Linked DNA regions of Macaca mulatta. The protein of the gene in region 1 interacts with the protein of each later gene in a biochemical or structural test. Links are inferred from orthologs where the notes say so. Each region holds a gene or a part of one and is shown in the gene's direction. Other genes may lie near its edges. The genes, in order: MSN, ICAM3, LRRK2 and SPN.

Region 1 (5,920 bases):
GATACTTGTCAGAAGTACAGAGTAAGCAGGCTTTCTCTCTCCTTGGGTCTGACTCACAAGCCCCACTTTGTGACCCCCAACTGTGTCATTTAGGGAGGATGCTGTCCTGGAATATCTGAAGATTGCTCAAGATCTGGAGATGTATGGTGTGAACTACTTCAGCATCAAGAACAAGAAAGGCTCAGAGCTGTGGCTGGGGGTGGATGCACTGGGTCTCAACATCTATGAGCAGAATGACAGGTATATCTCAGATCTCTTTTAGTTTATTTAGGTTATGTTAACATCTAGGGCTCACTTTTCACCAAGGAGCAAGGCCATAGCTCTTGGGTCCCACCTCAGTTCTTTTTCTGCCTAATTTAGTCCAGCCCAGATGATTTCACAACTTTCCTTAGGCCTCTAAATTCTGTATTGACTAGACTCACACTGTCAACTGTGGTAGCCACCAGCCACATGGGGCTATTGAACACTTGAAATGTGGCTACTTTGAATTGAGATGTGCTGTAAGTGTAAACTACACACTGGACTTTGAAGATTAGTGTGAAAAACAGAATGCAAAAATGTCTTAATATTTTTAAAAATATTTATTTACATGTTCAAATGATAATATTTTAGATATATTGGGCTAATTAAACTTATTAAAATTTTATTACATCCATTTCTTTTTACTTATTTTCATGTAGCTACTAGAAAACTTAAAATTATATATGTGACAGTCATTATGTTTTTATTGATTTGTGCAGGCCTAGACTGTCTTATCGGGATATATTTTGATTAGTCTCCTGTGATAATTAAATGGCTTTTGGCCTATAATCCTCTCACTGTAGCCTTATCTCACTTGCTTATATTTTTCACTTGGTGTGCTCTTGGTGAGAATGGAGATCAATAGATTATTGTTCCATATAACTGCTGAATCTTGGAGTTCATTATTTACGTTTTCTCTAACTTTTGTAAGCTTGGATAGAAGAAACTCAGTTAAATAGGGCTGGGGATTCCCTTGAGGAATTGTTACAAGTTCCATGCCTCAAACAAAAACATAACAAAACAAACTCGAGACAAGGAATCATATGTTAGTTGTAGTATCAGGAGATCCTTTAGTGAACTCAATGCTGGCAACTGACCTGGTGGCATGTGATGACACTGGCTGAGCTGGCACCGAGTCTACCTCCTCCAGAGAGAAGTGTTTGTTTGGCCAAGCTTGGTGGCTCATGCCTGTAATCCCAGCACTTTGGGAGGCTGAGGAGGGAGGATCGCTCGAGCCCAAGAGTTCAAGACCAGACTGGGTAACATAGTGAGACCTCGTCTCTATTTATTTAAAAAAAAAAAAAAAGAGAGAGAGAGAGAGAGAGACATAGAAGCTTGGGGGTGATGTGAGGGCAAGCCACCAGTTCTCTACGCCCTTCTTGTCTTGCCCTTGTCCTGATATTATTGGTTTCCATTTCTACAGACTAACTCCCAAGATAGGCTTCCCCTGGAGTGAAATCAGGAACATCTCTTTCAATGATAAGAAATTTGTCATCAAGCCCATTGACAAAAAAGCCCCGGTGAGTGATTCCTCCCTCTGACCAAGACGGGTACTTGCCAAGGCCTTCTATAATGAGCAATCATGCTATTCTATTTTTCTCTTCCTTTGCTGGTTTGTGTGTGTGTGTATGTGTGCGTGTGTGTGTGCGCGTGCATGTGTGTGCACACATGCACGAACAGGAAGCACAGATAGAGATTGGGAATGGAGGGAGATGTTGATGCCAAAAATGGCCAGCAGACATCCTGTACCTGATTCTACTCTGCTACCTGTCTCCCTCACTGTGGATGAGGGAGAGCCACAGGCAGTGTTAAGTACTGCTTCTTAGCCGTTGTCTCTGCCGCCCTGAGATTCTGGGGTGGAAACCAAATGCATCTCGTATTTCCAAGCCCCTGGGGTCCCGAAAAGTGGACACTGTTCACATATTTGATTCCTTTCTTTTCTTTTCTTTTCTTTTTTCTTTTCTCTTCTCTTCTCTTCTCTTTTCTTTTCCCCTCCCCTCCCCTCCTCTCCCTCCCTTCCCCTTCCCTTCCCTTCCTTCCTTTTTTGACAGAGTCTCGCTCTGTCGCCCAGGCTGGAGTGCAGTGGCACAATCTTGGCTTACTACAACCTCAGCCTCCCGAGTAGCTGGGATTACAGGTGCATGGCACCGTGCCCGGCTAATTTTTGTAGTTTTAGTAGAGACAAGGCTTCGCCATGTTGGCCAGGCTGGTCTTGAACTCCTGACCTCAGGTGATTTGCCTGCCTTGGCCTCCCAAAGTGCTGGGATTACAGGTGTGAGTCACCATGCCCAGCCCTTGATTTCTTTTTTTTATTATGGAGAAATGGCTGTGACCAGAGAAGTACAAATCCCAAGATGATCCTACAAACTTCTTGGTAGAACTTGACTGCTGCCCTCTCAGACTTTTCTCCAGAGCATTCCAAGACCAAAAAAGTGCTTTAACTTCACTCATTTCTCTAACACACTCGCCACACTTCTTACCCACTCAGTAGCCTGCAGCTAACAAGACCAGACAGCTGGTGATTGTGGTAGGGTAGGAAACTGAGCTGAGTATCTCCTTTTCTGGGATACCTCATGTTCAACAAGGCCCAGTGACAATACTGCGCCTGACCCTTTTCATGAAGGCTCAACCATTCTTCTCCAGCCCTGAGGTGTCTGAACTTTCCCTGCTAGGGACTTTACACGTTGTCTCCTTAAACCCTCAGCAACATGGTCAGGTAGGTAGTAAGTAGCATACTAATTTTATGGTTGACAAAACTGAGGTTAGAGAGATGGAGTGATTTGTTCAAGATAACACAGCTAAAAATGGTAGAACTGGGATTTGTACCTAGGTGATTTGACTTTGAGAGCCTGTGCTCCCTCCACTGCACCCCAAGCTATATGAGACAGTAGCAGTGTGTGGTCAGTGGCAGAGGAGATGGCGGTTAGCCCGTCAGCTGGTGACTTTGGTCCAGTGGTATTTGTAGTAGCAAACTCAAACTCACTGGATTTTCTTGTGTGTTTTCTTTTATTGCTACTGTGCTCAACTTTTATCAGAAAAAGTTGAGTAACAAAGCCAGCTGAGATCAAGGGCTCATTTTAAAAACAACAACCAGGACAAGCAGTGATCAGGAGATTTATGTATTTATATATGTATTTACAGCCTGCCTTGTTCCAAAAAGGATTTAAGGGGCTGGCTCTAGGATTTGCTTTCAGGAGATTGTAGAAACAGTCCAGTCACCCATACTGCACCCACCAGCGTATTGTCAGGGGTCATTTGGCTTCCAAAAGAGGTCACCTGAGACCTAGCATGTTCCCTAATTAGCAGAGAAAGTTTGAATCCTTCAACTTGATTAAGAGTAATTTAGGATGCTTTCATAAGCAAAGATTGAAAGAAATTGTGGGAAGAACACGGGTTTCAGAGTCAAGAAACCTAGGTTTCTAGTCTTTGGTCTGCCTGCTGTCTGACCCTGGGTAAGTCACTTTACCACTCTGATAATTGGTCTTCCCATCTGTAGTGCAGGAGGTTAGATTAAACATTCTTTTCAGTGCTTTTGGATTTAGCTTTTCAGAAGGCAGAAGATCACCTTCACCTGGCCCTCCGAATTCTTTCTGATTGCTGATTTCCCACCAGGACTTCGTCTTCTATGCTCCCCGGCTGCGGATTAACAAGCGTATCTTGGCCTTGTGCATGGGGAACCATGAACTATACATGCGCCGTCGCAAGCCTGACACCATTGAGGTGCAGCAGATGAAAGCACAGGCCCGGGAGGAGAAGCACCAGAAGCAGATGGAGCGGTAGGTGCTGCACACTGATGTGGGGGGCCAGGGCTGGGGCAAGGAAGCTTCTCAAAGGTACCCAGCCTGCTAAGTCAGGACATGAGGCCAACCTAGGACTTCATAGATAAGAGGTTAGACACCAATGTTCACATTTATTCAGAAAACATTTACCAAGTTTGAGGGGCAGTTTTTACAGAGCTGGATCTAGCAGGAACCTGCCCTGTAGGACCTCACAGTCTACTCAGTCTAGTAGCAGAGAGAGGGAAAACAATATATACATAACTCAAGGTACAAACGCCATGCCATTCATTCACTTAATAAATATTTATTGAGCAATGAATAAGAAAAGACCAAAAATCTCTGCTTTTGTGAAGCTAGCATTCTAGTGGGGAGGAGACAAACATAATAAATAAGCAAATTATGTGGTACATAAGATGGTTAAGAATTGCTATGGAGAAAAAAACATAGAAGAGGGGTGGGGAGAAGGGTAAGCCAAGTATTCTGAGGGCTCAGATGGAGAATACCTAGCCAAGGGAGATAAGAAGGTTCCTGGAAGAGGTGCTAGGGCAAGAAAAAGCAAATACCTATTCCAGATTTGTAACAAACTCTGGGAAAAAGAAGCCTAGAGCTGGGCTTTAGGGCAGACAGATTTGGACCTGAGGACTGATGCACTAGCCATAGAGATTACTGGACTTGAAGCACTTCATCCCAGCAGAGAGCCAAAACTTGTCTCCCTACAAGGTATATAGGGCAGGTCTTATTGGACCATTTTCAAGATAGGGGAACAAGAGCAAAGCAGTGACATAGCTAAGGTCACCCAGTGGGTTGGTGGGAGAGCTAGGATTCCTGACTCAGGGGCACATTGACAGGGCCCCGTGTACACTGGCCTATGTGGGGCTGTGATATGAGGACAAAGGTATAGAGGTAAGGGAGGGTGGCCCAAACTCACAATCCCTGAGTGTGTTGAGAAGGTTGGGTTGAGAGACCCAGAGGCAGCAAGCCTTGCAATTCCCCAGGCTTTTTTTTTTTTTTTTTTTGAAAATGGAGTCTTGTTCTGTTGTCCACGCTGGAGTGCAGTGGTGCAATCTCAGCTCACTGCAACCTCCGCCTCCCAGGTTCAAGCGATTCTCCTGCCTCAGCCTCCCGAATAGCTAGGGCTACGGCCGCATGCCACTACGCCCAGCTAATTTTTTGTATTTTTAGTAAAGACAGGGTTTCATCGTGTTTGCCAGGATGGTCTCGATTTCCTGACCTCATGATCTGCCCGCCTCGGCCTCCCAAAGTGCTGGGATTATAGGCGTGAGCCACCATGCCTGGCCTCCCCAGGCTTTTATGGAGCTTTACTATCCTGTTCTATCCATTTTATCTCCTTCCCTAGTGCTATGCTGGAAAATGAGAAGAAGAAGCGTGAAATGGCAGAAAAAGAGAAAGAGAAGATTGAACGGGAGAAGGAGGAGCTGATGGAGAGGCTGAAGCAGATTGAGGAACAGACTAAGAAGGCTCAGCAAGGTGAGGCTTGGAGTCACCTTGGAGATTGGGTTTTTCCAGACCTGACTCTGAGCTGGAGAACCTTCTTCCTGAGCTGTACACACAGACAATATAGTTCAGGTGTGGCTACAGACTAGAAAAAGAATGGGCAAGAAGAGAACTCAGAACTTTCTGCCAGCTTTGTCCTGGGGTGGATCATTTCCAGGAAGGAAGCTAGTGTGTCATCTTTATCTCTGTGCTCTTCACTGCCTTCTCCCCTCCTTTTATGCCCAGAACTGGAAGAACAGACCCGTAGGGCTCTGGAACTTGAGCAGGAACGGAAGCGTGCCCAGAGCGAGGCTGAAAAGCTTGCCAAGGAGCGTCAAGAAGCTGAAGAGGCCAAGGAGGCCTTGCTGCAGGCCTCCCGGGACCAGAAAAAGACTCAGGAACAGCTGGTAAAGCTGTAGGATGGACTGGGGTTTTGGGAACTGAGCTTTCTTCCTTGTCTGCCTACTTACTTATAGATACTTTTGCTTACATGCTGGCTCTTTAGAGCAGGCTACCACTCCATGGGCCTCCAGCAAATAACTAGTTCAGAAGCAAGCTGAGAAGTCACTAGTGTGGCCCAGGAATTTTTGCAATCTTCCCTAACCCTTAGTTTCTGTTCATTTTCT
Region 2 (6,696 bases), on another chromosome or scaffold:
GAGACTCCATCTCAAAAAAAAAAAAAAAAAAAAAAAAAAAGAAACCCTGTCTCTACTAAAAATACAAAAAATTAGCTGGGTGTGGTGGTGCGTGCCTATAATCCCAGCTACTCAGGAAGCTGAGGTGGGATAATCACTTGAACCTGGGAGGCAGAGGTTGCAGTGAGCCCCAGACTGTGCCACTGCACTCCAGCCTGGGTGACAGAGTCAGACCCTGTCTCAAAAAAAAAAAAAACAAAAAAAAAAACAGCTGGAGTTTAATTTATACACTGTTTGCAATCCAGACTGTATTTGCTTTCTTGTCAACGGCTTGAGATATGTGCAGGAGCTCCTTAAACATGTGTAGGTGACCTTTCTCTGCCGCCCAGACTGGAGTGCAGGGGCACAATCTCAGCTAACTGCAACCTCCACTTCCCCGACTCAAGCAATCCTCCTGCTGCAGCCTCCTGAGTAGCTGGGACTACAGGTGTGTGCCATCAAGCTTGGCTGATTTTTTGTATTTTTAGTAGAGACAGGGTTTTGGCATGCTGCCCAGGCTGGTCTGGAACTCCCGACCTCAAGGGATCCACCCATCTTGACCTCCCAAAGTGCTAGGATTACAGGTGTGAGACACCACTCCTGGCCCAGAAATACTTCATCATCAGAAATATTACTGGAGGGTGTAGAAGGGTACACTGATAATCCCAGCACTTTGGGAGGTCAAGGCAGGCAGATCCCCTAAGCTTAGGAGTTCAAGACCAACCTGGGCAATATGATGAAAGCCGTCTCTACAAAAAATTAGCCAGGCATGGTGGTGTGCACCTGTGGTCCCAGATCCTAGGGAGGCTGAGGTGGGAGGATCGCTTGAACTCAGGAGGCTGAGATTACAGTTAGCTGAGATTGCGCCCCTGCACTCCAGCCTGGGTGACACAGTGAGACTCTGTTTCAAAAAACAAAAAAGAAATATTACTTATTTACAAATATTTCTTTCTTTTTTATTTTTAGAAACGGGGTCTCACTATTACATAATTATTATAAATCATATCTATAATATATAATATATATTTTATATATATATATATATATATATATATATATATATATATGTATGTATGTATTTTTGAGACGGAGTCTTGCTCTGTCACCCAGGCTGTAGTGCAGCGGCACAATCTCCGCTCACTACAACCTCTGCCTCCCGGGTTCAAGTGATTCTTCTGCTTCAGCCTCCCGAGTTGCTGGGACTACAGGCGCCCGCCACAACGTCCAGCTAATTTTTTATATTTTTGGTGGAAACGGGGTTTCACTGTGTTAGCCAGGACGGTCTCGATTTCCTGACCTCTTGATCTGCCCACCTCAGCCTCCCAAAGTTCTGCTGGGATTACAGACTTGAGCCACTAAGTCTGGCATCTTTTTTATTTTATTTTATTATTATTTTTTTTGGAAACAGGGTCTCACTGTGTCGCCTAGGCTGGAGTGCAGGGGCACAATCTCAGCTCACTGCAGCTTTGATCTCCCAGGCTCAAGCGATCCTCTCCTCAGCCTTCCAAGGAGCTGGGACTACAGGCACCAGGTCCATGCTACTGGGCCCTGCTATTTACAAATACACTAGACTTGGGTTTTAGCTGCTCTCTCAACACTAGGTGGGAAATGAATTGTTCGGAAGGCAGAGGAATAGAGGAGGGACCTGATTAGGAAGGTGGGGGTGCTCCAGATGAGAGAGGAGGTGCTGTGACCTCAAGCTCTGGGAAAAGTGGGTGAACGCAGGGCTCCATCAAGGCCCTCAACAAGGTCCCTCTCTGGTGCTCAGATGTTAGGCCCAGAAGACAGGTCAGAGGCCTGAGGTCAGCAGCAGGTCAAAGGTGGGAGTCCCCCCTGGTCCCCTTGGTGCCTTCCCTTGGAATGAAGTGACCAGCTGCCTGGAAAGGTGGGCAAGGGGGCAACAGGATGAGGTAAAGGCCAGTTACAAGTAGAATCCTGGAAGGTTGGGCGAGGTGGCTTATGCCTGTAATCCCAGCACTTTGGGAGGCCAAGGCAGGCGACTCACTTGAGGTCAGAAGTTTGAGACCAGCTTGGCCAACATGGTGAAACCCCATCTCTTACCAAAAAGTACAAAAATTAGCCGGGCATGATGGCACATGCCTGTAATCCCAGCTACTCGGGAGGCTGAGGCAGGAGAATTGTTTGAACCAGGGAGGCAGAGGCTGCAGTGAGCCGAGATCCCACTACTGCACTCCAGCCTGGGCAACAGAGTGAGACCCTGTCTCAAAACAAAACAAAAGCCAAATCGAATCCTGGAAAGACAGTGGCTCAGGGACTCAGCTGTCCCCAAATCACCTACCTTAGCTCTTCGTGCATGGGAGGGGGGATCCCCAAAATCTTCAAAGATAGGGAGATGTCCTCAAGATCTTCAAAGGTGGCCAGGCGTTGTGGCTCACGCCTGTAACCGCAACACTTTGGGAGGTCAGGATGGGAGGAGGCCATCTCAAGGCCAGGAGCTCAAGACCAGTCGGGGCAACATAGCAAGACTCTGCTTCTGGTTTTTTTGTTTGTTTGTTTGTTTGTTTTATGTTTCCTTGAAATCCCACCTTAGCATCTAAACAGTGGTGCCTACAGGTTTCCCCCATTAACTTCCTCTCTGGGAACAGAATATTCCCCTCCCCACCTAAGTTCAGCCGGAAGGAGATGCCTCATACCCCCACACCCAGGCTTCCCAGTGCTGAGAACAAAGGAAGCCAGTTCAGTTAGCATTTCCTGGCTAGGAACTGGGGGCCAGCAGTGCAACTGAGACCAGCCCTGTCCCTGGGGGAGACTCAGCAGTGCTGGCCACTTTGCAGAGCCCCGTCTGGGTCCCCCATTCTAGCCCCCCAGGGCCACAGCATCCCCTTCTCCCCACAGGCCTGGGTAAGGTGCAGTCCCCAGACTTCTGCAATCTTAACCGCTATGCTTCCGTCTCAGTGGGAGGCCCCGCCTTTCCCCCTGCCTGCCCTTGGGGCACCTCAGGAAGGCACCTTCTTCTGTCAGAATGGCCACCATAGTACCATCCGTATCGTGGCCCGGGGCCTGCTGGACTCTGCTGGTCTGCTGTCTGCTGACCCCAGGTGAGGCTGGTCAAGCCCAGGAGGGCTGGAGAGGGCTGGGTTTTGGGGCTCAGTAGAAGGTGGAGGAAGAGAATGCAACACTCTTTGCATCCTGCCACACTGCGACCTGGCTGCTGACCCCGTATCCTCGGGAGAAAGTTCTGGTTCCTTAGTTCTGCCTTCAGGTGGTCAGGCCCCAGCATACGGCTTCTACGCCATCCCTCTTCCCCAACACACACACACACACACACACACACCCCTCACGCTTCCTGCTCCATCTGAACTCCTGAAATTTTTTTTTTTTTTTTTTTTTTTTTTTTTTTTTTTGAGACGGAGTCTCGCTCTGTCGCCCAGGCTGGAGTGCAGTGGCCGGATCTCAGCTCACTGCAAGCTCCGCCTCCCGGGTTCACGCCATTCTCCTGCCTCAGCCTCCCGAGTAGCTGGGACTACAGGCGCCCGCCACCTCGCCCGGCTAGTTTTTTTTTGTATTTTAGTAGAGACGGGGTTTCACTGTGTTAGCCAGGATGGTCTCGATCTCCTGACCTCATGATCCGCCCGTCTCGGCCTCCCAAAGTGCTGGGATTACAGGCTTGAGCCACCGCGCCCGGCCTGAACTCCTGAAATTTGCCCTTTGCGTATGTGGTTCCCTCTGCCAGGATCACCTGTCCCTTTCACTTGCTAACTCTTACTTAGCTTTCAGTTTCAGGCTGGCATGGTCTCCTCCTCCAGGAAGCCTTCCCTGACTCACCTCCTCCTATGCTGGATCAGAGCCTCTTCTGGCCTCCTTCTGAGTTCTCCCTGGTCCCTGATGGATTCTGCCTTTCCCACTGGACCATGAGGGTGGGAACCCTTCTATCTCGGCACAAGGAAAGAGGTGTTAAATGGTGGGGCCTGCTGATACGCGGGTTGGGGGGCAACAAAACAAACACCAGGATTTCTTCATGTTCCTGAAGGTGCCCAGGGGCAGGAGTTCCTGCTGCGGGTGGAGCCCCAGAACCCTGTGTTTCCTGCTGGAGGGTCCCTGTTGGTGAACTGCAGTACTGATTGCCCCAGCTCTAAGAAAATCATCTTGGAGACGTCCCTATCAAAGGAGCTGGTGGACAATGGCACAGGCTGGGCAGCCTTCCAGCTCAGCAACGTGACTGGCAACAGTCGGATCCTCTGTTCAGGGTACTGCAATGGCTCCCAGATAACAGGCTTCTCTGACATCACCGTGTACAGTGAGTCGATGTGTCCGGAGGTGGGACTGGTGTTGGGTAGTGGTGTGGGCAGATGGCCGATGGCTCAGGAGAATGGAGACCCTCAGTTTGCAAAGAATGGACCAGGATTCTGACCCAGAGCTCAGACCTGGACATTTGTGTGTGTGAGATACAAAGACATAGAGACACATCTCAATCTCATGCCAAGGCAGCAGTTGTGAAATCAATTAACTTGGGCCCCAACCAACATTTTTTTTTTTTTTTTTTTTTTGAGACAGAGTTTCGCTCTTTTTGCCCAGGCTGGAGTGCAGTGGCGCAATCTCGGCTCACTGCAACCTTCGCCTCCTGGGTTCAAGTGATTCTCCTGCCTCGGCCTCCCGAGTGGCTGGGATTACACATGCACGCCACCACACCCGGGTAATTTTGTATTTTTAGTAGAGATGGCATTTCTTTTTCTTTTTTTTTTGAGACGGAGTCTGGCTCTGTCCAGCCCAGGCTGGAGTGCAGTGGCCGGATCTCAGCTCACTGCAAGCTCCGCCTCCCGGGCTTATGCCATTCTCCTGCCTCAGCCTCCCGAGTAGCTGGGACTACAGGCGCCCGCCACCTCGCCCGGCTAGTTTTTTTGTATTTTTTTTAGTAGAGACGGGGTTTCAACGTGTTAGCCAGGATGGTCTCGATCTCCTGACCTCGTGATCCGCCCATCTTGGCCTCCCAAAGTGCGGGGATTACAGGCTTGAGCCACTGCGCCCGCCTGAGATGGCATTTCATCATGTTGGCCAGTCTGGTCTTGAACTCCTCACCTCAGGTAATCCGCCTGCTTTGGTCTCCCGAAGTGCTGGGATTACAGGCATGAGCCACTGCACCCTGCCCCAACAAGTTTTTTTTTTTTTTTTTGAGATGAAGTCTGTTGCTCTGTAGCCCAGACTGGAGTGCAGCGGTGCCATCTTGGCTCACCACGACCTCTGCCTCCCAGGTCCCAGTTCAAGCATTCTCCTGCCTCAGCCTCCCAAGTAGCTGGGATTATAGGCATGCGCCAGCATGCCCAGCTAATTTTTGTATTTTTTGTAGAGATGGGGTTTCACCATGTTAGCCAGGCTGGTCTTTAACTCCTGACCTTGTGATCTGTCCACCTTGGCCTCTCGAAATGCTGGGATTACAGGTGTGAGCCACCTTGCCTGACCCCAACAATAATTTCAACACTTTGGGAGGCCAAGGCAGGAAGATTGCTTGAGCCCAGAAATTTAAGACCAGGCTGAGCAACATAGGGACACCTTGTCTCTACAAAAATAAATAAAAAATATTAGCTGGGGCCGGGCGTGGTGGCTCACACCTGTAATCCCAGCACTTTGGGAGGCCGAGGTGGGCGGACCACGAGGTCAGAAGATCGAGACCATCCTGGCAAACACCGTGAAACCCCATCTCTATTGAAAATACAAAAAAAGTAGCCGGGTGTGGTGGTGGGCACCTGTAGTCCCAGCTTCTAGGGAGGCTGAGGCAGGAAAATGGCATTAACCCGGGAGGCGATGGAGCTTGCAGTGAGTGGAGATTGCGCCACTGCACTCCAGCCTGGGCGACAGAGTGAGACTCCGTCTCAAAAAAAAAAAAAAAAAAAATTAGCTGGGCATGGTGGTACATGCCCGAAGTCTCAGCTACTTGGGGGGCCGAGGTGGGAGAGTTGCTTGAGCCCAGGAGTTCAAGGCTATAGTGAGCTATAATTGCACCACTGCACTCCAGCCTGCGCGAAAAAGTAAGACCCTGTCTCTTAAGCAAAAAAAAGGGGGTACCCCTTTCAGTCAGCAGTAGGTGAATAGAGGTTTTATATTTACACTTTTTTATACTTTTATTTTAGAGACAGGCTCTCCCTATATTGCCCAGGTTGGTCTCAAACTCCTGGGCTCATGCAATCCTCTTCAGCTCTCCAGTAGCTGGGATTGCAGGCCTGAGCCACTGTACCTGGCTACTTTTTTTTTTTCTTTTTCTTTTTTTTTTTTTGAGACGGAGTCTTGCTCTGTCCCCTAGGCTGGAGTGCAGTGGTGCAATCGTGGCTCACTGCAACCTCTGCCTCCCGGGTTCAAGCGATTCTCCTGCCTCAGCCTCCTGAGTAGCTGCGATTATAGGCACATGCCAACATGCCCGGCTCATTTTTGTATTTTTAGTAGAGACAAGGTTTCAACATGTTGGTCAAGCTGGTCTCGAACTTCTGACCTCATGATCCACCTGCCTCGACCTCCCAAAGTGCTGGGATTACAGGCGTGAGCCACCATGCCTGGCCTTTTCTTCTTCTTCTTTTTTTTTTTTTTTTGGAGATGGAGTCTCACTCTGTTGCCCAGGCTGGAGTGCAGTGGCACGATCTCAGCTCACTGCAACCTCCACCTCCCAAGTTCAAGAGATTTTCCTGCCTCAGCCTGCTGAGTAGCTGGGACTACGGGTGTGCACCACCA
Region 3 (5,070 bases), on another chromosome or scaffold:
CATTCTCTAGTTGAATTGTATGTACTTTGGGACCCGGATAGCTTGCTTATAACTGAAGTTATAGTGGAATTTCAATGGGTTACAGTTTGATTTTAAAATAAAGATCAATTTGAACATAGCCTACAAGGTGCTGCGTGAGCTGGCTTCACTGTACCTCTCCTGCCTCCATCATCTACCACATTCCTACCAGATCTTCCTCGTCTAGATGAACATCCAGTTCTTCTTAATTACTGTGCTATATTTTGCCTCAGGGATTTGCACATGCTGTTTATTTCTTTGCTTAAAGTAATTTTGTTATGCTTAGTTAACTCATACGCTTTGAAATGTTAGCTCCTGTGTCAAAACCTCTGAGAAGCAAACACTGATTAGGTCAAAGTTCCCACTTTGGGTTCCCATAACAGCTTTCTTGCATAGTTGTGATCATAGTCATATATATTTTTTTTCATTAATACTAGTCTCTTCACTAGAATATAAACACCAAGCAGGTTGGGTTAGTGTGTTTTGGTTTACCCCTTTATTCCCAGGATCTAGCCTAGGACTTACATAGAAGACTTTTGATGCAAATTTGTTGAATAAATTAGTGAATGATTTGAGAAGAAAATATGATATTTTGACATCAGTATATCCATCCATCTAAGTGTCCATCTAAATACTCATATTTGTACCTTACCATATCCAAAGAACTTTTCACACACATTACCTCATTTAACATTGTAACTTTGGGGAGGGTAATGTATAAATACTAAGCCTATTTTATAGAAAGGTTAAGCTGTTTTCTCTCACATAATTAAGAGTTGCAGCAAGGAGTGGATCACAGATTCTGTTACTTTTTTTTAATGCTGGCCTTTATTCAATATAATTTAAGGGTCACCTAGAAAATAGAACTGTGAATTCAGTTCCAAGGTATTTGTGTCTTAGACTATGAACAACTTTAATTTTTTTCAGACCAGCTTAATATATAGTTTTAACGGAAAACTTCCATATTTTGTTTTTGTAAAGGGAGCCTTAAAAATGTCATGCTGGTATTGGGCTATAACCGGAAAAGTACTGAAGGTACACAACAGCAGAAAGGTAACATTTAAAAGGATACTGTATTCCAAACAGTGCAATGACATGAATGATAGTAACATATTATGTGTTTTATAAATTTGTAGAAAATATTACATATGGTATAATCAGGAATTTTAATTGGTAGTTTATAGTATAAAGAACTTAGGCATAAACTTTCAAAATTACAAGTGATATGAAGTGTTAAATATTTATATTTTCAGATGAAGTAGAGGTGTCAATCACTAGCTCAACCTTAAACTAAATGTGAATATTTTTTACAACTTACCTGTATCTACATAATGTTTAATTTTCAACAGTGTTTGAAAAGCTTTATTTCTTTTAGATTATGAAATGTTAATTTATTAAATGTCCACACTCTTCTTGAAATTTAGTAGTTTCTATAATGTATTATAAAAATTGTCCAAGTACAGTTTTTTATAAATAATTATTTAGTGCATTAGTTATAGCTGTGTTTATATATACATTTATCTAAGTCAACTAAAAATACATAAGCCAAACTGAAATAAAATAAGAATGTTTTATGGTGGATCTTTGAAACTTGATTTCATCTTTTTCTTTTTCTAGAGATACAATCTTGCTTGACTGTTTGGGACATCAATCTTCCACATGAAGTGCAAAATTTAGAAAAACACATTGAAGTGAGAAAAGAATTAGCTGAAAAAATGAGAGGAACATCTATTGAATAAGAGAGAAACAGGAATTGTCTTTGGATAGGAAAATTATTCTCTTGTAAATATTTATTTAAAAATGTTCACATGAAAAGGGTACTCACATTTTTTGAAATAGCTCATGTGTATATGAAGGAATGTTATATTTTTAATTTAAATATATGTAAAAATACTTACCAGTAAACATATATTTTAAAGAACTATTTAAAACACAATGTTGTATTTCTTATGAATACCAGTTACTTTTGTGCATTAATTAATGAAAATAAATCTGTGAAATACCTAATTTAAGTACTCATACTAAAATTTATAAGGCCGATAATTTTTTGTTTTCTTGTCTGTAATGAAGATAAACTTTATTTTAAATTCTATGCTTAAGACAAGACTATTGCTTGTTGATTTTTCTAGAAATCTGCAAGGTAGAATGAAAATATTAAGACAGTTTCCCGTGTAATGTATTCCCTCTTAGATTGCTTTGAAATGCACTATCATATATGCTTGCAAATATTCAAATGAATTTGCACTAATAAATTCCTTTGTTGGTATGTGAATTCTCTTTGTTGCTGTTGCAGACAGTGCATGTTACACAACTTCACTCAATCCAAAAGAAAACTCCATTAAAAGTACTAATGAAAAAACATGACATACTGTCAAAGTCCTCATATCTAGGATATGAGGAGAGTTTCTGTGTCTTTCTGTGTCTTTCCTAGACATGATAGAGTTGTCTCTATCTTTTCAACTCTATCTTTGAGTATGGATACCCTGAATTTTGTATAATTAGTGTAAATACAGTGTTCAGTCCTTCAAGTGATATTTTTATTTTTTTATTCATACCATTAGCTACTTGTTTTCTAATCTGCTTCATCCTAATGCTTATATTCATCTTTTCCCTAAATTTGTGATGCTGCAGATCCTACATCATTCAGATAGAAACTTTTTTTTTTCAGAATTATAGAATTCCACAGCTCCTACCAAGACCATGAGGACAAATATCTAACACTTTTCAGTTGCTGAAGGAGAAAAGAGCTTTAGTTATGATGGATAAAAATATCTGCCACCCTAGGCTTCCAAATTATACTTAAATTGTTTACATAGCTTACCACAGTAGGAGTATCAGGGCCAAATACCTATGTAATAATTTGAGGTCATTTCTGCTTTAGGAAAAGTACTTTTGGTAAATTCTTTGGCCCTGACCAGTATTCATTATTTCAGACAATTCCCTGTGATAGGACAACTAGTCTATTTAATATTCTCAGAACTTATGGCATTTGACTATATGAAAACTTTAAATTTATTTATATTCAGGGTGATCAAATTCTTAAACATGAAAGATTTTCTGTATTTTAACTTGCTACGTAATTAACGACAACAAAAAAAAATACAGTAGAGCTCTTTGTTCCAGTGTTATCTCTTTCATTGTCACTTTGTATGTATTTGCAAATTTTTTTACCAAAGACAAACACAAAAATAGAATACTGTATTTACATGGAATAATAAAATTTTTAAAAGCATGTTTATGAATTTTTAAACTTTGTGATAGTGTTTTGCTTTTCACATACAGGTCTGTTATCCACCTCAAAGGAAACTTTGTATATTAATTTGTATATGGAACATTCCACGATAAGAAAGTGCAACTAAAGTTTTTTCTTGAGAACTTACAGAATATTTAAATTTACTTTTCTATAATACGTATGGTTGCCAGGATCCCAGGACAAAATCTGATGGGTATGAAACATTCTATTTTCAAGTTCTCTTAAAAATGTTTTGTGAGTAAATTTGTTTGCTCTTGAGTACTGAAACAAAATATAAGACTTTAGAGCAAATGATATATACAAAAAATAGGCACAGTCACTTCAAGTGTTTTCTGATTAGAAGCCTAAAATAACCTGCTAATTATGATCAAAATACAAACATTATCATAACAGAAAATATTCTTTTGGGAAAATTTTGAATTCAAAAAAGGGCGCCTCTCTGACTCTAATTCACTCTATCGATTATGTGTGAACTATTTTAACTAAAATGCAACTTATTTTTCATCAAGGCAGTGAAATATATTGATGAAACATAGCAGAATTAACAAAAGAAGATTGTGAACTTTCCTAAGTTAAATGTAAGGATGCAAATGTTCTAATATTGAGGGGAGATAAAATTCAAAACCGTTGGGACTTTGCTGCTTTATCCATCACTTTGAGTAGCTTAACACCTAACCTGGTAAATTGAATGTTTTTCATGGAGGCTCATCAGCAATTCAGTAAAATAGTAAACTATGTCAACTCGGGAGAAACTGACATCCTCGTTCTCCATGCTAGCCAGTTGCTGATCCAGGGTATCATTGTTTCTAATAACAATTCAGAATCTGGCTGCTTAAAGGCACCTAGGTACTTGGTTCTTTCTAATTTGTCAAGGAATTTGGAGTGATCCTATCACCCTGATTTCAAGCAAGAGACAGTCACCTGACCCAAAGGCCTGCTGTCTGAACACACTCTGAGTGAGTGAGCAGAGATGTGGTGGTTCTCTCTATGTGCTGCCGCCACACTGCTCTTGATTTCTACCCTTACCTGGGAAGTCTCTACTTGATGTCTGTCTCAGGCTAAGAAAAAGAGAAGAGAAAGGGAATGAGTATTAGCATCTGGATCATGGGGCTGCTTCTTGGCCTCTATGAGAATCCACTGTTTCACAGCAATCAGGGCCTACAAAACTGGATGTTATAGAGTAAACAAGAGGTATCATTCTGACCTGGGCTTCGCCACATTTACCCACTGAACACTCCCAAGAGAAGGTTGTTACCATTTATTTATGAAAATACCAAACTCCGATACATACTCTATTGGAAGTATTTATGGAAAAATAGAGCATATGTCTACCTGGCCAGAGAATAGAGGATCCTGATCACAAAAAAAGTACAAATATTTAAACAGAGACTTAGGACAAATGGGCATTCAACAATTTCCAGAGTGAAATAACATTCTAGGCAGATGATGACACATGTGCTGTCTTTGGAACTTGAGCTTATTTTGAAAGCATCCCTATCAAATACATGCTGAAATTTGTGACAAGTTCCCATTCCTTACAGTACTTACGGGATACACTTAAGTGACTGAAGATGCAAGAGAAGTATATATTTGTGTATGGATATAGCACTTTTATCATTAATTGGGAGATTATAAAGTTAATGAGCTGCTCTTTGCAGAGGGAGTATTTGTTAGGATGAAATGGGGAGAGATGTTTCAAACACCAAGTTTATCTTATAGGTTAAGAAATCCTAGAAGGAATCCATGACTTTATGTATATGTACAATATATGACAAGAGATTTCCCTATCTCCTTGCAAA
Region 4 (6,446 bases), on another chromosome or scaffold:
GCACTTGACATTATCTCATTTAATCCTTGCAGTCACTTGATGAAGAAGGTGGTGGTCCTAGGGCATTGGAGAAGTTGTGTGACTTGTTCAAGGTCATGCAGCTGGAAGATGGTGGTGGTAGGACAGGAAGTCCGTTGGGCCTGATGATGCAGCCCTCTAACCTACCCTCCTTTGCTCCTGCGTCCCTCATCCCCTCTGCAGAATGGGCACCCCGTTACCATTCCGAGCCACTGTGTGCAGAAAAGACAGCATGTTGGCCAGGCTGGTCTCGAACTCCTGACCTCAAGTGATCAGCCTGCCTCAGCCTCCCAAAGTCCTGGGATTACAGGCGTGAGCCACCTCACCTAGCCTCTGAACACTTTGGACTCAAGCCATTTCCCAGTGCTGTGTTTGCAGTGAGCACCCCTGAGGGATGAAGACGTGTCTCCCTGTGGGACACTGGGCTTACCAGGGGCCCTAGAGGAGGGGAATCTCTCAAGCTCAGAGCTCTGTGGCTGCGATATAGGCCCACTATGTGCGCGGTGTCAGTTTGGGTCCTTCCATGTTGCCTCTGTGGGACTTGGGGTAAGGGGAACTGACGCAAACATCACGCTGCTGTTGCTTGGTGTGAGCAATTAATTCCTGCGGCTCTCACCCTGGAGTCTCATGTCTTTGGGTCAGACAAACTCATCAGCTTGTGGAAAGGGCACAGTCCCAAGGACCTGTTAGAATCTTCTATTGTGCACATGTTGCTCTTAAAATATACAAATCAGTTTTGATTTTAAAAACTTATGCATTTTATTTTTAGTGACAGGGTTTCTGCTGTGGTGCCCAGGCTGGTTTCAAACTCCTGGGCTTAGGGGATCCTTCCGCCTCGGTGGGACTACAGGCATAATGTATCACCACGCCCGGGACTGATTTTCGTTTTTAAAGAACAAAAACCAAAGACATACACAAACCAAGAGTCAAAGCTTGCTAATTAGAGGAAAGTCAGGAAATGGGAACCATTCAAAGAAGAAAATGCCTCGGCCTCCTACTCTCACCTATCCAAAGACAATTAGGTGAATCCCTTAGTGGATATCTTTCCAGACACTTTTCCATATAGAGTCCCACATCTGGCCGGGCGCGGTGGCTCACGCCTGTAATCCCAGCGCTTTGGGAGGCTGAGGTGGGTGGATCACCTGAGGTCAGGAGTTCCAGACCAGCCTGACCAACATGGAGAAACCCCGTCTCTACTAAAAATACAAAATTAGCTGGGCACAGTGGCGCATGCCTGTAATCCCAGCTACTCGGGAGGCTGAGGCAGGAGAATTGCTTGAACCTGGGAGGCAGAGGTTGCGGTGAGCCAAGATCATGCCATTGCACTAAACTCCACTTCAAAATAAATAAATAAATAAAATAAAATAAAATAAAAAATAAAAAGATTCCCATATCTTTACTAGTTTGCTGAAATAAGATCCGAGCATATGCAGTGTGTAGGAACCACCTTGGTTTAGCCAAGCCTCCCTGACTAGGGGCCACTGGGGTGACCCCCAGCTCCCCGTGAGGGAGTCAAGAGCTCACCAGCTTGCAAAGGTTTTCACGGCCCCCAGCCAGACTCGGGGGCTTCCTCTTGCCCTGCTACTTCCTGGGAGCTCTGAGAGCAGGAAATGGCACCACTCAGCTCCTGGCCTAACAGCTTGGGGACCACAAATGCAAAGGAAACCACCCTCCCCTCCCACCTCCTCCTCTACACCCTTGAGTTCTCAGGCTCATATTCCCACCACCCACCTCTGAGTCCAGCCATCCCTAGCATCACCCCTTCCATCCCATTCCTCAGCCAAGAGCCAGTAATCCAGATTCCAGATCCCGCACTTCCCTGCCTGCCTCAGGTGAGCCCCAGACCCCCAGACACCCCACTGGCCCCTGAAGGAGCAGGTCATGGTGCTGTCTTCGCCCAGCAGCTGTGGGAGCAGGGCGGGTGGGGCAGGATGGAGGGGTGGGTGGGGTGGGTGGAGCCAGGGCCCACTTCCTTTCCCCTTGGGGCCCTGTCCTCCCCAGTCTTGCCCCAGCCTCGGGAGGTGGTGGAGTGACCTGGCCCCAGCGCTGCGTCCTTATCAGCTGAGCCGGTAAGAGGGTGAGACTTGGTGGGGTAGGGGCCTCAGTGGGCCTGGAAATGTGCCTGTGGCTTGAAAAGACTCTGACAGGTGATGATGGGAAGAGATTTGGAGCCACTGGGCTGCACAGGGTCAGGGAAGGCCAGGAGAGGGTGGCCACTGCTGGAATCTGAGCTGCCGAGGCTGGAGGGAGCCTTGGGATGGGGCTGATGGGGGAGCTGCCAGCATCTGTTCCTCTGTCATTTCTGATAACAGTAAAAGCCAGGATGGAAAAAACCGTTAAACCGCAGGTTGGGCCTGGCCGTTGGTAGGGAAGTGGGCAGAGGGGAGGCCCGGCCAGATCCTCCGGCAACTCCCGCGTGTTCTGCTTCTCCGGCTGCCCACCTGCAGGTCCCAGCTCCTGCCTGTTTGCCTGGAAATGGCCGTGCTTCTCCTCCTCCTTGGGGTGCTTGTGGTAAGTCCAGAGGCTCTGGGGGACACGACAGCTGTGCAGACACCCGTGCCCGGAGAGACTTCTGGTCCTTTGGTCTCTACTAGCAAATACCTGAGCATCGACTCAGAGATGTACACCGCTTCAATAACAAGTGACCCTAAGGCCGACGGCACTGGGGACCAGACCTCAGCCCTACCTCCCTCAACTTCTGTCAATGAGGGATCCCCTCTTGGGACTTCCCTTGGTGCCAGCACTGGTTCCCCCTTACCTGAGCCAACAACCTTACAGAATGTTTCCTTCGAGATGTCATCAATGCCCCAGGAAAACCCTCATGCAACCAGTCATCCTGCTGTTCCCATAACAGCAAACTCTCTAGGATCCCACACCATGACAGGTGGAACCATGACAACGAACTCTCCAGAAACCTCCAGTAGGACCAGTGGAGCCCCTGTTACCGTGGCAGCTAGCTCTCAGGAGACCTCCAAAGGCACCTCTGGACCCCCTCTTACCATGGCAACTATCTCTCTGGAGACCTCCAATGGCACCTCTGGACCCCCTGTTACCATAGCAGCTGGCTCTCTGGAGACCTCCACTGGGACCACTGGACCCCCTGTTACCATAGCAGCTGGCTCTCTGGAGACCTCCACTGGGACCACTGGACCCCCTGTTACCATGACAACTGGCTCTCTGGAGCCCTCCAATGTGAACACTGGACCCTCTGTTACCATGACAACTGGCTCTCTGGAGCCCTCCAGTGGGGCCAGTGGACCCCAGGTCTCTAGTGTAAAACTATCCACGATGATGACTCCAACGACCTCCACCAATGCAAGCACTGTGCCCTTTCGGAACCCAGATGAGAACTCAGGAGGCATGCTGCCAGTGGCCGTGCTTGTGGCCCTGCTGGTGGTCATAGTCCTCGTGGCTCTGCTCCTGCTGTGGCGCCGGCGGCAGAAACGGCGGACAGGGGCCCTGGTGTTGAGCAGAGGCGGCAAGCGTAACGGGGTGGTGGACGCCTGGGCTGGGCCAGCCCAGGTCCCTGAGGAGGGGGCCGTGACAGTGACCGTGGGAGGGTCCGGGGGCGACAAGGGCTCTGGGGTCCCTGACGGGGAGGGGTCTGGCCGGCGGCCCACGCTCACCACTTTCTTTGGCAGACGGAAGTCTCGCCAGGGCTCCCTGGCAATGGAGGAGCTGAAGTCTGGGTCAGGCTCCAACCTCAAAGGGGAGGAGGAGCCGCTGGTGGCCAGCGAGGATGGGGCTCTGGATGCCCCCGCTCCTGATGAGCCTGAAGCGGGAGACAGGGCTGCCCCTTAAGTGCTGGCGAATAGTAAGGCTGGAGGCCGGAATCTCAGCCAGCCTCCAGCACCTTCCCTCTCACCATCACACTGCCCCCTCACTCCCACATTTCCACCTGGCATCCTGATCCTCACCTGAATCTCTCTCTCTCTCTCTTTTTTTTTTTTTTTTTTTTGAGGCAGAGTTTCACTTTGTTGCCCAGGCTGGAGTGCCATGGCATGATCTCAGCTCACTGCAACATCTGCCTCCTAAGTTCAAGAGATTCTCCTGCCTCAGCCTCCCGAGTAACTGAGATTACAGGCGCCCACCACCACGCCCAGCTGCTTTTTTGTATTTTTGGTAGAGACGGGGTTTCACCATGTTGGCCAGGATGGTCTCAAACTCCTGACCTCAGGTGATCCACCTGCCTCGGCCTCCCAAAGTGCTGGGATTACAGACGTGAGCCACCGTGCCTTACCTCCTCACCCGCCTCTTCACTCTGAATCCTCATCAGGCCTCTCAGCCCTGGATTTCCTGCTGGCATCCTCACCCAGCACCTGCAACCAGCACCTGGGCAGGGCAAGGCCGGCACCTCTCAACGTCTGTGGACTGAATTAATAAACCCTCTTCATCCACCCCTATTTATCTCCATCAGGATTTCCCCCTCTTTCTTGTTCTTGGAAACGGCTGCTGAGTCTCCATCAGCCAAATTTATCTGACCTGTGATTTCTTTGAGAATTCTCCTTTTCCCCCACACCCCACTCTGGGTTGACCAGAGTCTGGGAAGAAGAAGGACAAGAGAACATGGCAAACTCCCTCCTAGGATTAACTTTGTAAAGCACCCTTGCCCCGTAGCTGCAAGGGCTGTGGAACCTGGGCAGCCCGCAACCACCTTTAGCTCTGGGTCCCCCAGGCCAGCCAGGAGCATGGCTGGGTGGGGCCACTGGCCCATGCTCTCAGGCAGGCCTGTGATCTTTCCCAGGGCACCTGGACTCGAGGCTGGCCCTGGCCCATGCCACCACACTCTCCCCACCCAGGGACAGAGGCAGCCAGAGGCTTCGCGGTTTCTCCTCTGAGTTTCTGTCTGGGTGTGTAGTTCTCAGAAACCCCAGTGCCTGCGTGCGTCCACTCATGGGTGTGGTTTGTGTGCAAGAGCTGAGGATTTGGCGATGCTTGGGAGGGGTAGTGGCGGGTACAGACAGTGTGGGAGTGGGAAGTGGTGCAGAGACTGAAACGGGTCAACCTGAGCATGGGGGCACAAGGACTGCTGAGAACATGTGTGTCATCTTTGCTCTGATGGGGTAGACAAAGCAGAAAATCTAACTCTGTCTATAGCCCCATACAGCACGCCAGGGTGACCACAGTGGCTGGTGCTTTTAATCCCAGCACTTTGGAAAGCTGAGTCAGGAGGATCGCTTGAGCCCAGGAGTTCGAGTCTGAAGTGAGCTGTGATTGCACCACTGCACTCCAGCCTGGGCAACAGAGCGAGACCCTGTCTCAAAAAAGAAAACAAAAAGGAAGCCAGGCTTCCTAGAAAGATTGTATGTGTGACCCAAATGTGAGTTCTTCAGCTCAACCACGGTAATCCCTTCCTTGAACTCTCCCTTTCTACAGTACACATGCAGGTGCTCACTCTCTCTCTCTCTGTCACACACACACACACACCCCCACACACCTACACACATACACGTGCACGCGCGAACAGAGGCAGGGGGCGAGGGGTCTGCCCTGGTCGTGGGGACTGGCCTTGCTGGCGCTTCCCCCCTGCACATTTTCAGGTTTAGTTTGTCTATCTCTCCTCTTCCATCCCAGGGGCTGAGCCCCTTCTATCCTCCAAGAGGAACCAGTGAGAGTGAGTGAAGCGGGCGGGCCCAGAGCCAGGGACTTCCCCTGTGAGGCCTGGGTGGAGAGGAGAGGACCCAATGGTGCTGCCTTTGAGACCAGCGCAGCCTACAGCCTGGGAGCACACATGGGCCAGGGCAGTTGGTATTTCCTGAGGGCAAAGAGGGAATTTTCAAAGAGGAAGTTGTTGAGTTAGAGGTTGCAGTGGCTGAGAGCAGACAGGTTGACCTGCAAACAAAGACAGGGGAAGCATGTGAGCGTGACAGCCTTGCTCTGTGGCCTGAGCAGGAGATGGGGAAAGGATCAGGTGGGAGATGGGCTCGTGCAGTGGGAGAGGAGAGGGAGGGAGGCGGCAGGAAGGCGCTTGCTTAGTGGGTGGGAAGAGCTGAGCTGGGATGGAACCGGCTTCTATCAGCCAGGCTGGGCACCCACTGGGCTGCATCTAGTGGCCTTTTCTGATTGCTATTTGGACTCACTGCAGCTGCAGAACGACAGAGGCCACGTCCAAAAGTCCCTTAGAGACACTGTTGTCTTAGAGTTGTTTAAATAAGTGCCCCCATATCAGGTTTAGAAAATACTGTCACTGAACGCCGCTGTCCTCAGTTCCACCTCCCTTTCCTTTGACAGATATGGTTGTTTTCTGAGCCAGGACTGGTTTTAGCCAGGTCCTGGGCGAATCCTGAAAAAAAGAGGTAGGGGTAAGGAAGGCACCCAACAAGGCTTTCACAATCCAGAAAATACCAAAATATAAGTGTTAAAAGAGAGGCACAGGCCGGGTGCAGCGGGTCACGCCTGTAATTCCAGCACTTTGGGAGGCTGAGGCA

Evidence for each region.
Region 2: the proteins of MSN (region 1) and ICAM3 form a complex in vitro, tested with the Homo sapiens proteins (2 studies listed by BioGRID). The link is inferred for Macaca mulatta from reciprocal best matches to the Homo sapiens genes MSN and ICAM3.
Region 3: of the proteins of MSN (region 1) and LRRK2, one has a biochemical effect on the other in vitro, tested with the Homo sapiens proteins (9 studies listed by IntAct). The link is inferred for Macaca mulatta from reciprocal best matches to the Homo sapiens genes MSN and LRRK2.
Region 4: the proteins of MSN (region 1) and SPN form a complex in vitro, tested with the Homo sapiens proteins (2 studies listed by BioGRID). The link is inferred for Macaca mulatta from reciprocal best matches to the Homo sapiens genes MSN and SPN.

The regions. Positions count from the first base shown.
Region 1 is NC_133426.1:71,834,301-71,840,220, forward strand, and holds part of MSN (moesin), read left to right. Parts: intron 1-93; coding exon 94-240; intron 241-1,444; coding exon 1,445-1,541; intron 1,542-3,633; coding exon 3,634-3,797; intron 3,798-5,157; coding exon 5,158-5,288; intron 5,289-5,540; coding exon 5,541-5,701; intron 5,702-5,920. UniProt on the Homo sapiens protein: Ezrin-radixin-moesin (ERM) family protein that connects the actin cytoskeleton to the plasma membrane and thereby regulates the structure and function of specific domains of the cell cortex.
Region 2 is NC_133424.1:11,061,488-11,068,183, reverse strand, and holds the start of ICAM3 (intercellular adhesion molecule 3), read left to right. Parts: upstream 1-2,940; 5' UTR 2,941-3,001; coding exon 3,002-3,077; exon of another isoform or gene 3,078-3,334; intron 3,335-3,665; exon of another isoform or gene 3,666-4,009; coding exon 4,010-4,276; exon of another isoform or gene 4,277-4,476; intron 4,477-6,696. UniProt on the Homo sapiens protein: ICAM proteins are ligands for the leukocyte adhesion protein LFA-1 (integrin alpha-L/beta-2). ICAM3 is also a ligand for integrin alpha-D/beta-2. In association with integrin alpha-L/beta-2, contributes to apoptotic neutrophil phagocytosis by macrophages.
Region 3 is NC_133416.1:47,246,242-47,251,311, forward strand, and holds the end of LRRK2 (leucine-rich repeat serine/threonine-protein kinase 2), read left to right. Parts: intron 1-1,003; coding exon 1,004-1,071; intron 1,072-1,635; coding exon 1,636-1,757; 3' UTR 1,758-3,268; downstream 3,269-5,070. UniProt on the Homo sapiens protein: Serine/threonine-protein kinase which phosphorylates a broad range of proteins involved in multiple processes such as neuronal plasticity, innate immunity, autophagy, and vesicle trafficking.
Region 4 is NC_133425.1:28,908,537-28,914,982, reverse strand, and holds SPN (leukosialin), read left to right. Parts: upstream 1-2,017; 5' UTR 2,018-2,087; intron 2,088-2,465; 5' UTR 2,466-2,493; coding exon 2,494-3,819; 3' UTR 3,820-4,419; downstream 4,420-6,446. UniProt on the Homo sapiens protein: Predominant cell surface sialoprotein of leukocytes which regulates multiple T-cell functions, including T-cell activation, proliferation, differentiation, trafficking and migration.